Linked DNA regions of Arabidopsis thaliana. The protein of the gene in region 3 interacts with the protein of the main gene of each other region in a pairwise test. Each region holds a gene or a part of one and is shown on either strand. Other genes may lie near its edges.

Region 1 (4,277 bases), on a different chromosome or scaffold from region 3:
TAAGACGTTATAATCATGTTCCAATGCATCCCCTCAGTTTTGTGTTAAAAACGAGCCATCAATGTTATCATATATGGAAATCATTATTGAGGCTTTGACCAATTAATTATGCGAATTGACCGACTTTGATCACTATACAGAGCAAAACAAATCCACTGAATCATTTATTTGTGTAGGTTCATCTTTTTTGGGCACCGTATTCATTTCTTATTCCATGAATTTGACGGAGTAATTTTGATTTTCTTTTTCGAGTAAGAATCTGGTCAAATATTCGATGAACCTCTACAAAAAAAATTAACCTCTATAAAAGTGTAGATTAACCAAGTGTTTCATCACAAACCATTTCAACGTAAACGAAACAACAACTACTACTCTCAACTTTACACTCTCTTGATAAGTCTCGATGATGAATAACATGAAGCTCTTGATCATCGCTGTGATGATCATCTCGGCAGCTTTGCTTCCAGCGCTTGTGGTCGGATCTCGTCCGGTAAAATGTGACAATTGCATGGACGGTGGAGAAAAAGAAGAGATCATGAAGATGAGTTCAGGTGTAGATGTGAGCCATAGGATACTTCAAGCTAAGAGATTTATAGATTACGAAGCATTGAAGAAAAACTTACCAGCCAAACCAGATGGTAAACCGGATAAACCGGATAACAAATACCGACGTGGTTGCAGTGCCGCTACAGGATGTTACCGCTTTACAAATTAAACATAAACCACCTCTCTCTTCTTCTTCTTCTTCCTTTCGTTGGTGTGTTTTATTTTATTTTTAATTAGTATTTCCAATCACATTTCTTATTATTATATTTTATTGCAATTTGTAAGCCTTTGAGGCATTATCTCCTAGAGAGTTAGAATAAACTTCGTTTAGAAATTGTCATCCTTTTCTCACCAAATGATTGACGAGTGAAAATTGATCTCATCGTAAAGTATTTTTGCGGTCAAGTTCAAACAAATTGATCCCTTCTCTCGCACCATATTCTTGTTTTATTTTATTTAAACGATCGATATATTTCCAAACCATTCCTCCAAAACTATCACACATTCACACCTACCAATTTCAACTTTAAATACAAAATATAGTCTTGTTGTAAATATAAGATACACTTTAGAAGTGTACACGTGAAATTCAGGTATATATATTACAATAGTAAGCAACCTCTAAGTACAATTAAATCAAGAAAAAAATAGATTTGAATTAATAGGAGCGGACATGGGATGCATGTAGAATTGTAGATTATCATTTATTATGGTGACTAGACCATTGAACTTTCCTATAACTTTGAAAATATTCTTATTTAGTCATTTAATTTAGATTACACCAAAACCCCAAATATGCCAAATTTTCTACAAATACCCCAAAAAAGACAATTTATAAAATTATTATCCAACCACATGTAATAATCTTTGATGACTTTTAAGTTTTAAATTTTAATAGTAGATTTAGATAATATAGGAACCAATTATTCAAAGGTCAAAGTTCAAACTAGCTTATCCAAATTCATTTTCGCTGATAAAAATACGTTGAAACTATCAAATAACAAAATACCATTACACCAACATCACCAACTTTTTAAAACCCCACAAGTTGATTATTTGAATTTGCTTTTAGGTCCTCAAGTTCAAGATTGTTTCAATTTGCACAATCTGCATAAATCTTTCTGAAATATAACTTTTTTGCCCTCTAAAACTCAAGGGTTTGATTTTTCTTCTTCAACTACGTTAAGATTTCTCCTACACTTTTCTTTTTCACCGTATTCTCTTTTAGTCCTCGATTCTCTACGCGTTTCAGCGTCAAGTCTTCTAGATCTCTAAAGCCTTCGTGCTCGCCAATATAAATCTCTGAGATCGGTCCCGTAAAATCGGATTCGCGTCGTTTTTGAGTAAAAAAAATGGCGCAACAATCGTTGATCTACAGTTTCGTCGCTCGTGGTACCGTTATCCTCGTTGAGTTCACAGATTTCAAAGGCAATTTCACATCAATCGCTGCTCAGTGCCTTCAGAAGCTTCCTTCTTCTAACAACAAGTTTACCTACAACTGCGATGGTCACACGTTCAATTACCTCGTCGAAAATGGATTCAGTGAGTCAAAATATTGCTCGATCTGTAAGCGTAGCTTGTTTGTGTTTTGATTTATCCATTGTTTGAATTAGATTTTTTGCCTAATTGAGAAATATGAATCGAGTTCTTATGTTTGGTATAGTTTCCAGTAATAATTATGTATTGGCGTTGATAATTAATTGATGTTAGATCTATGGTAATCAGTGATATTTTTGGTGGATCTATCAATGAATATTTGCAATTTTTGTTCTGGATCTATTGATTCTTTGCTTATTTGCGTGTAGCTTTCGATATCATGAAGTTTTTGGCATTAGTGTATTGTGTTCTTTATGTAACTCTGTTTTACTAAACCTAATTGGGTTTTGGGTGATGTTGATGGCGGATATGGTCTCTTTATGATAGTGTTAACTTTCTTATCAGCGATATATTGATGAATCTATTGCTTTATCTCTTAATATAGAGTTTAAAATGGACCGGTTTTGTTTTCGTTTGTGCAGCCTATTGTGTTGTTGCAGTTGATTCTGCTGGGAGGCAGATTCCTATGGCTTTCTTGGAACGAGTTAAGGAGGATTTCAACAAGAGATATGGTGGTGGAAAGGCTGCAACTGCTCAAGCAAACAGCTTGAATAAAGAATTTGGGTATGTGTTTTTTGATCTCTTTGATTGGTATTGAAAAGGGTCTATGATTCATGGGCATAGTTATTGATGGACTTCTTTTTGGCTTCTCTAAAGGTCGAAACTGAAAGAGCATATGCAGTATTGCATGGATCATCCTGATGAGATTAGCAAGCTTGCTAAGGTTAAAGCTCAAGTGTCTGAAGTTAAAGGTGTTATGATGGAAAACATTGAGAAGGTTTGATTCTGACCCTTTTTTCTTTTTATCGATATAGTTTTATGTTGTAAACCTTTTCGAACAGAGTTCAGCTTGTATGACTTTAGTACCAGGATCTTATGATTCGTAAAGCATAAACTGTAGAGAGGAATGTTTTATTCTCGGTTGTGAAGACATATTCTGTTGTTAACTCGTTTATGCATTCGTTTGCAGGTTCTTGACCGTGGTGAGAAGATTGAGCTTTTGGTTGACAAAACAGAAAACCTTCGCTCACAGGTTTGTTTTCTAAATGGTTCAAAGTCAATAGACCCACACAGAGACATGCAAGAGTTTGCAGCTTTCTCTTACTGATTGTTGTTTCTTGGGTTTCTAACTTTAAATTTGAACTCGACTTTATCACAGGCGCAAGATTTTAGAACACAAGGAACTCAAATGAGAAGAAAGATGTGGTTTCAGAACATGAAGATAAAGCTCATTGTCCTTGCAATTATCATTGCCTTGATTCTCATCATCATCCTCTCAATTTGTGGGGGATTCAACTGCGGTAAATAAGTCTGGAACATTTCTTCCCGGCGTTATCGACTGCGCTCTGTGCTTCCCAAGATCTCTGAGAATATCTTCATTCAGTTCGTTGTGCTACCTTTTTGTTTTGTTTTTGTTTTTGTGATTTCTATATTCTCATACTATATGTTTCTTCTTAGATTGTACTTCTTGAAATTTGTTTTGTATAGGCTATATATATTATACATATATGTATGCATGTTCGACAATCTGCAATGTTGCTATTGCTGGTACTGACACTAATTCTTGCAAACCAATATTTGGACGATACTTGTTCTTGGCAATTTACTAATTTCTTTGGTCTGTTGATGAGACTCTAGTTGCGGATTGCAGTGAGGTATAAGCATAGTCCACAGCCGGTTAATATTAAATGGAGATGAATATGTAATTAACACGGTTTCGTCTGACCGATTCACCAGAGTCTCCGGTTAGTTCATTAAGGGTTTGCTCAAACGCTTTCTCCTCTGCTTCCCTAATTTCGGAAACATTCGCCTGATTTTCTGAGATTTTGGAATTTCTTCGAATTGATTGCCATGCTGAGCTCAAGATTTCGACTGCTGAAATCGAGGCGACTTGCGGAGCCACCTCCGGCTGATGTCGCGGTTATGTGTATTTGCAGGAAATGAAAGTGATCTCCTTATTGCGGCAAATCAGCCACTTCCTGTCGACTAAAACTGTGGTGCAGCATGTAAGAACAAATGCAAGTTCGGACAAACGTGTTGTCTTGGTCAGTGGTTTTACTTGGCTTAGTCTTCGATTCTCTACGCGTTTCAGCGTCAAGTTTTCTAGATCTCTAAAGCTTTCGTGCTCGCCGATA
Region 2 (4,156 bases), on a different chromosome or scaffold from region 3:
CCGAGCGTGGTTCGAACTACATCTCCAACAGCAGTGCAAGCGTTGATGTTGCTTACTAGTTGCGCTTTGCCCTGAGATGTGTCCGTCCCTTCCTTCAGCAGTATGATCTGCGGTTGCTGCTCATCAAACCAAAACCAAAGTAGTGGCACGTTAGTCAGTTTATAGCACAGAGAGTGAGATAGAGAGAGAAAGTGTGTGTAGATGCGACTTACCATCATCGATGCCATTGTAGATGCGTGACGAAGAGCTTCAGAGATGTGAAGAAAGTGAGAGAAATGGAGCAGAGAGAGAGAGAGAGGGGGGGAGTTAGGGTTTAGGTCTTCTGTTGTTCATATAGGAGCAACTAGATCGACCGATGTTCTTAGAACCGGACCGGCCGGTTGAACCGATAATTTCACTTAAAACGCAGCGTTTTATGGTCTGGACCCCACTTAGAAAGTCATAATTAAATTATTTAAAAGTTTCTCCATGCTTTTTTAATGGAGTTAAATTATGCAGACACAAAATTATGTAAAAATTGGCTTTCGACGCATATATTTGTTGATTTTTCACTTTTGCTCTGTTAATTTAGAATTTGGTAAACTCTAATGTGGAAAGGATGGCAATGGAGGTGGCTCTTTTGGGAGGAACTCAAAAGGATTATACTTTTTGAAGCAATACTTGTTGTTTGTAACTAAGCTACATGATAAATCAAAGTTTAATTAGTCATTAGTCTCTCTAGACAATTGTTCTTATATATTATGTGTTCTAACTTCTATCAAAACTATAAGGACAATTGACAAGTTATTAAACATAACGACTACAAAGTACAAACCATTAAACTACATAGTACAAATCTGATCAAAAATATGTTTGCTTTATTGTTGTTAATTATTTACTTTTATGTATCTATATATTTAACACTTGAACTCAGAGAATGCATCCTTTGGAAGACCACCACGACCACACGCATTGTTAACGTTGCGAGCAGCTATCTTTAGCTTGGGGGACTTGAGAAACAAACACATACATTTTTTTTTCATTATCATATTATAACAACAACGCTCATAAATGTAACCGTGAGTAAAGAATTCAGTTTTGTCTATGCACCATTGCATGTCCTTTTCACAATTACCCACACCACCGGCTACTTTGATGGGAGCCGGAAATGACGTCATGAATATGACCAAGGCAATGGACATCAATGGGATGATCTTCATGTCTGATTTATTAACCTACCAGCTGATGACAAAATATCTCAAATCAGGAACAATTAGTTTTGCAAAAATGTTGTATATTTTTTGTTTGTTTGAGATCTTTAAATAGGAAACTTGGAATCAACGATTTATACAACATATGGGTATCCTATAGATTAGGGAGGAAAGTGATTCTATTTTTATATGGTTGTTCATATTGAACATTTGACTTGTTCTTTATGTATATCGGTGTATGGTTGTTAGGATGTTGTATATCTTACAAATCGAACAATCGAAGTATTACAATTGCTTTCCGGTGCTCAAAGACTGGGCTATGGGTTTAGGCTTGGCCCTTTAACGGAGAAAAGCAAGGATTTGGTGGGCTTCTTTAAATTTGGTTCGATGGACGATTCTAAATTATGTAAATTAATTTGATATACAGTAACATTTTTGTTTTTTTAAATGTTTTCTGCTGAAGTCAATTTATCAATAAGTGTTTCGTATGGGCTAATGTATCCTTTGGATGATAAACTTAAAGTATCCAAAGCCGACAAAATAAAATTTTAAAAATCATTCAAATTACGAATGTTTTTTTCTTTCTCCAATTTATATATGATTTTGGGATCTGTTACCGTATATACTTACACGTACGGGACAAGGGCACACGGTTTCGCTTTCAACTTCACCTTCCCTTCTCCGCCATTGTTACTTTCTCAGAAGCTTCCAAGTCAACCAATAGAGACTTACTTGTTTGACTTCTTCCTCTCTTACCTCATAATCCTCCTTTTGGACTTTTCAATAAAACCGCCTACTTGAATCTGTACGACTTCTTCTCATTTTTCCATTCTTTAAGTCTTCCCGTTGATTCATTCCGATCTGAAATCTCTCTCTAGATTTCTCTATTTTTCGAATTTTAAATGAACGATTTGTTTTCCAGCTCATTCTCTCGCTTCCGCAGCGGAGAACCATCCCCTCGCCGAGACGTTGCCGGCGGTGGCGACGGAGTTCAGATGGCGAATCCCGCGGGATCAACCGGTGGTGTGAACCTCGACAAGTTCTTCGAAGATGTTGAATCTGTGAAAGAAGAGCTAAAGGAGCTAGATCGGCTCAACGAAACACTCTCTTCATGTCACGAGCAGAGCAAGACGCTTCACAATGCTAAAGCCGTTAAAGATCTCCGGTCTAAAATGGACGGTGACGTTGGAGTCGCGTTGAAGAAGGCGAAGATGATTAAAGTTAAACTCGAGGCGCTAGATCGTGCCAATGCTGCTAATCGGAGTCTCCCTGGCTGTGGACCTGGTTCTTCCTCCGATCGAACCAGGACCTCTGTCCTCAATGGTCTCAGGAAGAAATTGATGGACTCTATGGATAGTTTCAACCGATTGAGGGAGCTTATCTCGTCCGAGTATAGAGAAACTGTACAGAGGAGGTACTTCACCGTCACCGGCGAGAATCCGGATGAACGAACCCTAGATCGACTGATTTCCACTGGTTAGTTTAATCTTCCATTCAAATCACTTCCAGATTCAAGTAGAATCATCATCTAGGTTAACATATGATGACCAATTGGTTTCCGAACACTGATTCCAGGCTTCTTAGTATACAGTGTTGTGGTTGTGAAGAACAGTAACTTCAGATTTTGCGTTTAGACTATGAAAATGGATTTGTATATCTTATGTTGTGCTAGTTCCTAGCTGTTAGAGCTGGAATTGATCTCTGGATACTTAGACATGTTGTTACATGAGTGGTGGTGCGACATTGATACTGTTTTTGTTGCAGGAGAGAGTGAGAGATTCTTGCAGAAAGCAATACAAGAACAAGGAAGAGGAAGGGTGTTAGACACCATTAACGAGATTCAAGAAAGGCATGATGCGGTTAAAGACATTGAGAAGAATCTCAGGGAGCTTCACCAGGTGTTTCTAGACATGGCCGTGCTGGTAGAGCACCAGGGAGCTCAGCTTGATGACATCGAGAGTCATGTGGGTCGAGCTAGCTCCTTTATCAGAGGCGGAACTGACCAGCTACAAACCGCTCGGGTTTACCAGAAGAACACGCGAAAATGGACATGTATTGCCATTATTATTCTCATCATCATCATAACTGTTGTGGTTCTTGCTGTTTTAAAACCGTGGAACAACAGCAGTGGCGGCGGCGGCGGTGGTGGTGGTGGGGGTACCACTGGAGGAAGTCAACCAAATTCAGGGACACCACCAAATCCTCCTCAGGCAAGGCGTCTATTGCGTTGAAGTTGAAGTTGAAGTTGAGTTTCGTTATTTGCATATATATTCTTTCTTTGAAAAACCTTATTATCAAACCAGCTTTGTGTTACTACTTTCTACTGCTGGTTTGTTGTTAATCTCCCGTTTATTTGGTTTTTGTGAAAGAATTTAAAATGTGGGTTAGATGAGAAAATTAGTACAACATTCTCTTGTATCTATGTTTGCTATATGGGTTATATTTACTTGATGTGATTTCAGGGTTTATCGTTTCTTGTTCTATTTGGTTGAAGTATATGAGCCATTTCAAACCAAACGAGGTAATACCAACCGATAACACAAAAACTTCATTAGTCTTGGCATTTTCCAAGTTCGAATATGATACTAAATCTAGACTTTGATGCTATGATTTGTTCTGGGGTGTACTCTTAACATTTTGTTGACTTTTCAGTTGACTGATATGTTGATCCTACTGTGATACTTTTCTTTCTTTTTTTTTTTTTTTTTTTTAATCCCAATTCTGATTCAGATTACAGAAGTTTTCAAGTCTCAAGAACAGTAAAGAAGATCAATATACGTACAAGGGTTACAAACTTGCATTATCATACAAGAAGACCAGTTTTCCAAACACTACCTTAAAACATAACAACAAAACAAACAAGATCATCATCATCATCATCATCATCATCATCATCATCATTTCATCAGATGTTGTTGTAAGCTACAGAGACCAAGTGAGGAACTTTACCATCATCAAAAGGCAAG
Region 3 (7,550 bases):
TCGAAAAAATCCACATGAGTAAACAAACTACACAAACACTATACACGGAATTGGATTTCTGTCACTTGGGCATCAAACAAAGAAAGGTAGCCAGAAATATTATGATTCATTCATTTGTAACACTAACAAACCTCACAGGTCACTGAACATAGAACCAATTAAATATTAGAGATGCATTTGAACGGTGGTGGAAATCAATGAGCTTAGTTGGGATACTTACAATGCAAATATGATTTCGGTAATCAAACCAGTTCTTCATCTGTACACAGCTGCAAGGACAAAGCAGAAATGAAGAAACTGAGCAATGATATACACCTCTGAAGGAAACGATGTCATCAACTAAAGTCTAGAAGATAAATAAATACCGTGTGCGGCCTTTATCACTCTTAACAAGTTTCTGAAGTACATCAATTTCAATCATTGCTGCATCCCGGTATTTCTTAATGCTTCGAATTATCTTTATTGCCACATATTCTTTTGTATCACGATCCCAACATTCCAAAACCCGACCAAATGTGCCTACAACACCAGCAAGTTCACTGAAATGGCACGATTTGATTCACATAAACATTTTTTTTATCTCGAACACACCATGCCACTTGACAGCTAACCTTCACCCATCTTGCTAAGTATTTTATCTGTCAAAAGTCAAAACAGAACACACAATAGCGTAAGTTAAGCAATTAAAAATGTTCAGGAAGGATTCTCATCCCAATGAAACGAAAGCGAAAAAAGATTATCCCTAAGGCAATGGTGCCAAACAAAACAAAGAGTTACTAGCAACAATACACATATAGAAGCAACATAGGTAAATATCTTAGCTCACATAGAATAGAAAGTTAGCAACTTTATCCATCAAAAACTCACATCTAGGAGTGAGATTGTCCCTCAAACTGAAAACATAATGACCATCACGATCATCGTCCCTTAATGGTGGTGACAAAATCCTCCCATCGCTTCCATGTCCTTTAATCACAGCCCTTTTAGCCTATCACAAAAAAGTCAAAATTCATTCATTGTCAGCATATCAAAATCTCACCAAAGAAACATAAATGCTCGGTCTTTCCTCCACATTCTAAACCCTAATTCGAAGTTCTAAATGTCAAAGATTAATTAAAAAAAGAAGAAGAAGAAAGAGGAGCAACCTCTGGTTCAGCTGGGGCCTCGTCCCAGGTCATACGAGGACGTTTCCTGACTCGTTCTTTATCCATACTCTCGAATCCGTTAGCTATCATCACCGACGCGGAAAATCGATCACCGACACATCCAGAACGGAATCTGATGCCAATCTGCAGCTAAAAGAGGGAAAATTTCTACCAGAAACTCTTTACGTAGATGTAATCACAAGGCGGCGAATCGGGGAGAAGGTGATAATCTCCGAAAATGGTGAAAACAGAGGAATTGCTAGGGTTTGGAACTAGAGAGAGTGCAAGAGAAAGACAACTCCCAATAATTTTACCGGCCAAATCCCTTGGGGTCGAACCGCGACGACATCCACCAATTGCATTTTTTTTGCACTTTCCACCGAAAAAATTGGGTCTACACGATCACCCGGAATGTTTCGCCCACCCGGCCCAAATGAAATGTGGTGAGATCTTCTTATAATCTTGGCCCAAATTTCCATCATGGATCTTAAACGTTCGTTTCATTGTTTCTTGGATTTTTTTTCATTAACTGGTCCATCTCAAAATGGGCTTCCATAAAAATGGGCTTTTTTACAAAAGGGTTTTGTTTCATTAATTGATTTTCGTGTTTTTTTATCCGTAACAATTATGCTTTCGTTTCCTAATTTATACGAGCAAACGTAAAAATGTATAGTATTTGACTATTTGGTTTTACGTATCAACAATCAACAACATACTGTACATCAGTACATACACAATTTTTTTTTAACATACACAAACTTACTTTATGTACAAATGAACTATTAAGAAATGGCTTTAGCCTTGTTATTGCATGCATCTTCTTAATTTGTGTATGTGAAATTCTTCATAGGAGCTAATTAAGGGACGAAGACAAAGTGTATCCCCCTTCATGTATTACCTAAACGTATCTTAGAATTTCAAAACATTGTTTTCCTTAGAATTTTTTAAAAAAATTGTAAACATGCACATCCAACACTGGAAAGTGGAAAGAAGTATATATATATGATATGTTATCTCAAAAAAACTGAAATGATTGTATTAAAAACATACTAAATTCTGACTGATGATAGATATTGATACGTAATTCATTTGTTTATTATTGTTCGTTTTGTTTTCAACACTACTATTCCTGTCACGGTCTCATTTAATAACAACAACAAAAAAGACGTCAAGATTTGACTTTTGAGTTCCTCAATTTTTTCAACTCCAGTATTTAAACAGCTAATTATTACATAATTTATCGTAAGAAAAAAAAAAAAAAAAACCTTATCCCCCTGATATTGTAGATCTCGATTGTAATCACTACACCTGATGCCACATTAAATACACACAGAGACGTAAATAAGAGTCAAAAAAGTCGATGAAGCCTTCTGCATATATAACAACAAAGTTGAATATATAAAGAGTAAAATTCATCATACTACAATCTTGAAAAATTATAATTTATTAGATGGTTAAGTAAATTTGTTTTATAGTATTGTTATATTCTTTTTTTCCAAAAAATATAGGGAAAACAAAAACCAGTAAAAAAAAAAGTCAACTTAATTTGCTCACCACCTTCTTGATCATCTAAACACCTCTTTAATAATTCAAAACTAAAAAAAAAAGGTATAAATGAAAGAGACAAAAGAGGGAAGTATATATCATCAAGCTTGAAGAAGAGAGAGAAGAAGAAGAAGGAAAAAAGAATGTCTACGACGACTACTGAGGCGAGATCACCGTTGCCGTTGTTGTTGAGAAGAGGAAGGTCTTCGACGGCGTTATCGGCGTCGACGGCGGAAGCAAGATCGCCGTTATCGATACTGCAGTTCAGAAGAAGATCGAGCAAAGATGTGAGGAACATAACGTCAGTTTCGAGCAGTCTCTTGCCTGCTTTTGGGACTTTCATCGAAGATGATAATCCTTCTTCCAAACCTTTCATCGTTCTTCACTTTGATCGTCGTTACAGGTTCATTTCTCACTAACTAAACAACGAAGAAATGTTTTTTGGTTATCAAACAATAAATAGTGATTTACAGATTTCATAACTTTTCTGTTTCTATTAGTCCATAAATTAATGATCAAATGATTCGTTCATTAATTTTCATATTTTTACGTCTTAAAATTGTTATTTCTTATTAATATTCATATATCTTAATTTTTTTTTAATCTTTCCATATAAAAATTAATGGTAGGTTGTGGGAATTGTTTTTGGTGATATTGGTTGGGTATTCGGCGTGGGCATCTTTGTTCGAGTTGGCTTTCGAGAAAGCTGCCGAAGGAGCGTTATTGACCATTGATCTCGTCGTTGACTTCTTCTTCGCCGTTGATATCATCCTCACCTTTTTTGTTTCCTACTTGGATAATACTACTTACCTCAATGTCACCGACCACAAGCTCATCGCCAAACGGTAACAAATCAATTTGTTTTTATATGTTAAAAAAATAACATAAGTAAAATGAATAAGTTAGAATTGAATTATATATGTTGTGCATTATTATAGGTACTTGAAGAGCGTGGCTTTTGTGATGGACGTAGCATCAACGTTACCCATTCAATTCATTTATAAAACTATTACCGGAGATGTCGGACGAGGCCAAGCTTTCGGCTTCCTTAATTTACTCCGCCTCTGGCGTCTCCGTCGTGTAGCCGAACTCTTTAAAAGGTTTTTTCTTTACTACTTTCTATATAATATGCAATATTGAAATCCACTTATCATATAGTACATATGTGTGTGTCTATTTTACACTTCCTTTCTTTCTTTTTTTAACAGACTAGAGAAAGACGCACATTTCAACTATTTCGTGATCCGAGTCATCAAACTTCTATGTGTAAGTTTTACTTATATTGAATTATCTATATGTGGTCCATACAATCACTAAATTGGCTATGTCAATCTATGACTTTTATTCAAATTGTGAAATTTGATTCAGGTAACGATATTTTGGATACATTTGGCGGGTTGCATTTTATACTGGATAGCCTACCATTATCCAAGGCCTACGGATACATGGATAGGATCGCAAGTTGAGGATTTTAAGGAAAGAAGTGTATGGTTAGGGTACACTTACTCAATGTACTGGTCCATTGTCACACTCACTACCGTGGGTTACGGTGATTTGCATGCAGTTAATAGCCGTGAGAAGACATTCAACATGTTCTACATGCTTTTCAACATTGGCCTCACTTCTTATATCATCGGTATCATGACCAATCTAGTTGTCCATGGCGCTCTTCGTACATTCGCCATGGTATATAATCATTCATTGCTTAAACCCGAAAAGATTGTTTACTCATTCATTTACTCTACCAGTCGTACAATAATCATTCTTCTGCTGAACAGAGGAGTGCGATCAATGATATATTGCGATACACAAGCAAGAACAGGTTACCGGATACAATGAGGGAACAGATGCTTGCACATATGCAGCTCAAGTTCAAGACCGCGGAGTTAAGGCAAGAAGAGGTTCTTCAAGACTTACCTAAGGCCATAAGATCAAGCATTAACCAACATCTATTCCGCTCCATCATCGAAGAAGCTTATCTTTTTAAAGGATTCCCCGAAGGCCTCCTCGTCCAGCTGGTGATCGTCCATCAACAATTCCATTTTCTTTTGTTCCTTGTTAAACAAGGCAGTGGTAATTCATTCTTCTATGTTGTTGTTGTAGGTTTCGCAAATACAAGCAGAATATTTTCCGCCGAAAATGGAGATAATCTTGCAGAATGAGATTCCAACGGATTTCTACGTAATTGTATCTGGAGGAGTGGTATGATATATCTATATATCCTCTACATACTCATTCATTTATCCCGAAAAGATTGTTTACTCATTCATTTATCCCGAAAAGATTGTTTACTCATTCTTATTTATATTTGACTTCAACTGATTAAAAGAAAATTTGCAATTTTAGGATATAATTGCTTCCAAGGGTGTGAGTGAACAGGTAAAACTCTGAACAAATTTCAGTTATAAGAAAAACACATTTCATAAACTTAAAAGATTGAGATAGAGTATGAAGAGTTGGTTGATAAATGGTGAAGGTATTAGCGAAGTTAGGTCCCGGAAGTATGGCAGGAGAGATAGGAGTAGTGTTCAACATTCCTCAGCCTTTCACAGTGAGGACACGTCGACTTTCACAAGTTATCAGAATTGGTCATCATAAGTTCAAAGAAATGGTGCAGTCTGATAATGACGTCGACGCCAAAATGATCATTGCCAATTTCATGACAGTAAGTTTACATTCACAAAACGGTAGTAACATCAATATAGTGTTTATATTGTAACACTAATAATTAATGTTTCTTTCTTTAATTTCAGTATCTTAAGGGATTGAATGATGAGTTAAAAAAAGAAATTCCTTTTCTTAGAGATTTATTAGATGACGCAGATGCTCAGGTTCAGGTATATATACCTTCTTATAACAAATAATGCATAGTCCTCTCGTCAAAATTGTCAAGTGAGTTTGAGATGAAAACGCATTTTTTGGTGACAGGAAACAGTTCAGTCAGAGGAAACACCACAAAGTAACGATGAGGAAATAGTTACGGTCTCAAGACATGAAAATGGACAGAGTAAGAAGACATTTTTTTTTGTTGAAGACAGAGTAAAATGAACATGTTTTTTTGTATGTATAGAGACCCTTTTTTTAACAATGACATTTGATTGCAGTAGAAGAGAGAAGAAGAGAGGGAGTTCCAAAAAGAGTGATAATTCATGGACAAGCTCCTCCTAATCAAGATAACAAAAACAATGGTGATTCCAACGGTAGACTTATCATTTTACCTGACTCTATCCAACTTCTATTCGACTTAGCTGGTCAGTTTCACTCTTATGATGTCACTTCTCTTTACTTATACATTGAAAGTTTTTTAAAATTTAATATACTTTATATTGAACTCATAAAACTATGGTGGATGCAGAGAAGAAGTTGGGGAAACGAGGAAGCACGATTGCAATGGCAGATGGTGCACATGTTGAACAAATTGATGCTCTTCGAGAAAACGATCATTTATATATTTTCTAATTCGTTTATAAATATATATATTCACAATTATCACTTCCCACACAAATAATGATACAAAAAAAACTATATTTTTGTTAGCGTAAGGTGCTTATGAAAAGATGCAAAGTCAGATATATGAAAATATAAGGTGAAGATCGAATTCCCAATTCCACTATTATGAACTTGCTTCTTATCTTTTTGACATCTTGAACTTAAAATTATGTTTGATTGAAGATTGCATTAGCATACAACAAAAGTACCATTGTTGCATACATTTTAGCATTTTCTCTTATTACTGAAACAATTCTCTTTAAAACATTTGCATCAACGGCTACTTATAAAGTAACTAAAAACCATAAAAGCAGTGAACACTGGAGAAGATTGACCTATCAATAATGGTGATGATCATTCTCAAATAGGGGGTCTCCTGTTCGATATTCGTCATTGGATGGCAAAACTATCCAACGTCACTCTTCTCCACGTCAATCGTGAACGAAATAGTGCTGCAGATAAGATGGCTCAATATGTTTTGTCTACTACTACTCTGTATCAGTCTTTTATTGTTCCTCCTCGTTTCTTACTCTCTTATTTGTATCAACCTTATACAATCTAATAAAGTTGTAGTAGTAGTTGTTAAAAAAAAAAGAAAATAACAATTATTTCATATTTTACACTGCATTGTACATCAAAGACTTTTATTTGTATATTCGGTAACAACCAACAAAAAAAAAAGTATTTGAAAGGAAATTCTTAGTTCGAAACTCAAATAACACAAAAAAATAACCATACAAAAAAGATTAGCTAAGGACTCTTTTGTATAATTCTTTATAGTAAAAAAAAAAAAAAAGACAAAACAACAGTGGAGACTATTATCTAAGTACAACTTTAAAATGTCGTGAAGCTTCTCAAGTTGAAGTAGTCTATGCTCTCTTTTCCTTCAAACAAGAAGAAAACTTCTCAAGCAGCCATAAGACCGATGCCCTTTCCCCTTCTGCTATGCTTTTCTACCGCAAATTCCGAACATGACACAGATGCAGATGGGAGGAAACTTCTGTAAGGACTCCTAGAAAACAGAGGATCAGTTCATTTTTAGCTGGATTTGGCGATGGACTTGCACGAGAAACTCCACATACGACGGGCCGCTTGCTGTCCTGTCCTCTACCATATACGAGAGAAACAACATTCCTGAAAAGTACCAAATATCATAAGAACAAATCAGCATCGACAAGGTTCTATGAAATCAACACCGAGTAAGCAAAAATAAATGTTCATTTCGCAAAATAATATTAGATGACAGGATCTAAGCTGTTACTATTAACGTAAGACTGATAATGTCGCAAACAAGAAAAGATAAATAACATGTATCCTTTGTAGTTAGTGCTAAGATTTGGAATCCGTCCATTATTACTCACCTGATGGTTC

The links. Proteins that work in one complex are often made in the same cells at the same time.
Region 1: the proteins of KAT3 (region 3) and SAR1 interact in a two-hybrid assay, tested with the Arabidopsis thaliana proteins (one study listed by BioGRID).
Region 2: the proteins of KAT3 (region 3) and SYP121 interact in a two-hybrid assay, tested with the Arabidopsis thaliana proteins (2 studies listed by BioGRID, with this or other methods).

What each region holds. Positions count from the first base shown.
Region 1 is NC_003071.7:14,042,959-14,047,235, reverse strand, and holds SAR1 (synaptobrevin-related protein 1), read left to right. Parts: upstream 1-1,692; 5' UTR 1,693-1,898; coding exon 1,899-2,112; intron 2,113-2,564; coding exon 2,565-2,706; intron 2,707-2,799; coding exon 2,800-2,920; intron 2,921-3,112; coding exon 3,113-3,175; intron 3,176-3,301; coding exon 3,302-3,451; 3' UTR 3,452-3,777; downstream 3,778-4,277. Other genes in the region: RALFL18 (ralf-like 18), read left to right, coding at 404-715. UniProt on the Arabidopsis thaliana protein: Involved in the targeting and/or fusion of transport vesicles to their target membrane.
Region 2 is NC_003074.8:3,728,805-3,732,960, reverse strand, and holds SYP121 (syntaxin of plants 121), read left to right. Parts: upstream 1-1,709; 5' UTR 1,710-2,092; coding exon 2,093-2,666; intron 2,667-2,954; coding exon 2,955-3,421; 3' UTR 3,422-3,656; downstream 3,657-4,156. Other genes in the region: AT3G11830 (TCP-1/cpn60 chaperonin family protein), read right to left, coding at 1-116, 213-227; AT3G11825 (Bifunctional inhibitor/lipid-transfer protein/seed storage 2S albumin superfamily protein), read right to left, coding at 897-1,199; AT3G11810 (uncharacterized protein), read right to left, coding at 4,096-4,156. UniProt on the Arabidopsis thaliana protein: Vesicle trafficking protein that functions in the secretory pathway. Together with SYP61, regulates the post-Golgi trafficking of the aquaporin PIP2-7 to the plasma membrane, thus modulating cell membrane water permeability.
Region 3 is NC_003075.7:15,750,081-15,757,630, reverse strand, and holds KAT3 (potassium channel protein), read left to right. Parts: upstream 1-2,583; 5' UTR 2,584-2,833; coding exon 2,834-3,093; intron 3,094-3,319; coding exon 3,320-3,535; intron 3,536-3,628; coding exon 3,629-3,790; intron 3,791-3,898; coding exon 3,899-3,956; intron 3,957-4,058; coding exon 4,059-4,376; intron 4,377-4,468; coding exon 4,469-4,708; intron 4,709-4,793; coding exon 4,794-4,892; intron 4,893-5,036; coding exon 5,037-5,069; intron 5,070-5,166; coding exon 5,167-5,355; intron 5,356-5,443; coding exon 5,444-5,527; intron 5,528-5,618; coding exon 5,619-5,697; intron 5,698-5,794; coding exon 5,795-5,941; intron 5,942-6,045; coding exon 6,046-6,149; 3' UTR 6,150-6,360; downstream 6,361-7,550. Other genes in the region: AME3 (Protein kinase superfamily protein), read right to left, coding at 221-269, 366-519, 612-638, 868-988, 1,146-1,235; AT4G32640 (Sec23/Sec24 protein transport family protein), read right to left, coding at 7,207-7,313, 7,541-7,550. UniProt on the Arabidopsis thaliana protein: Probable modulatory (alpha) subunit of inward-rectifying potassium channels. Could mediate potassium uptake from the soil solution by plant roots in association with AKT1.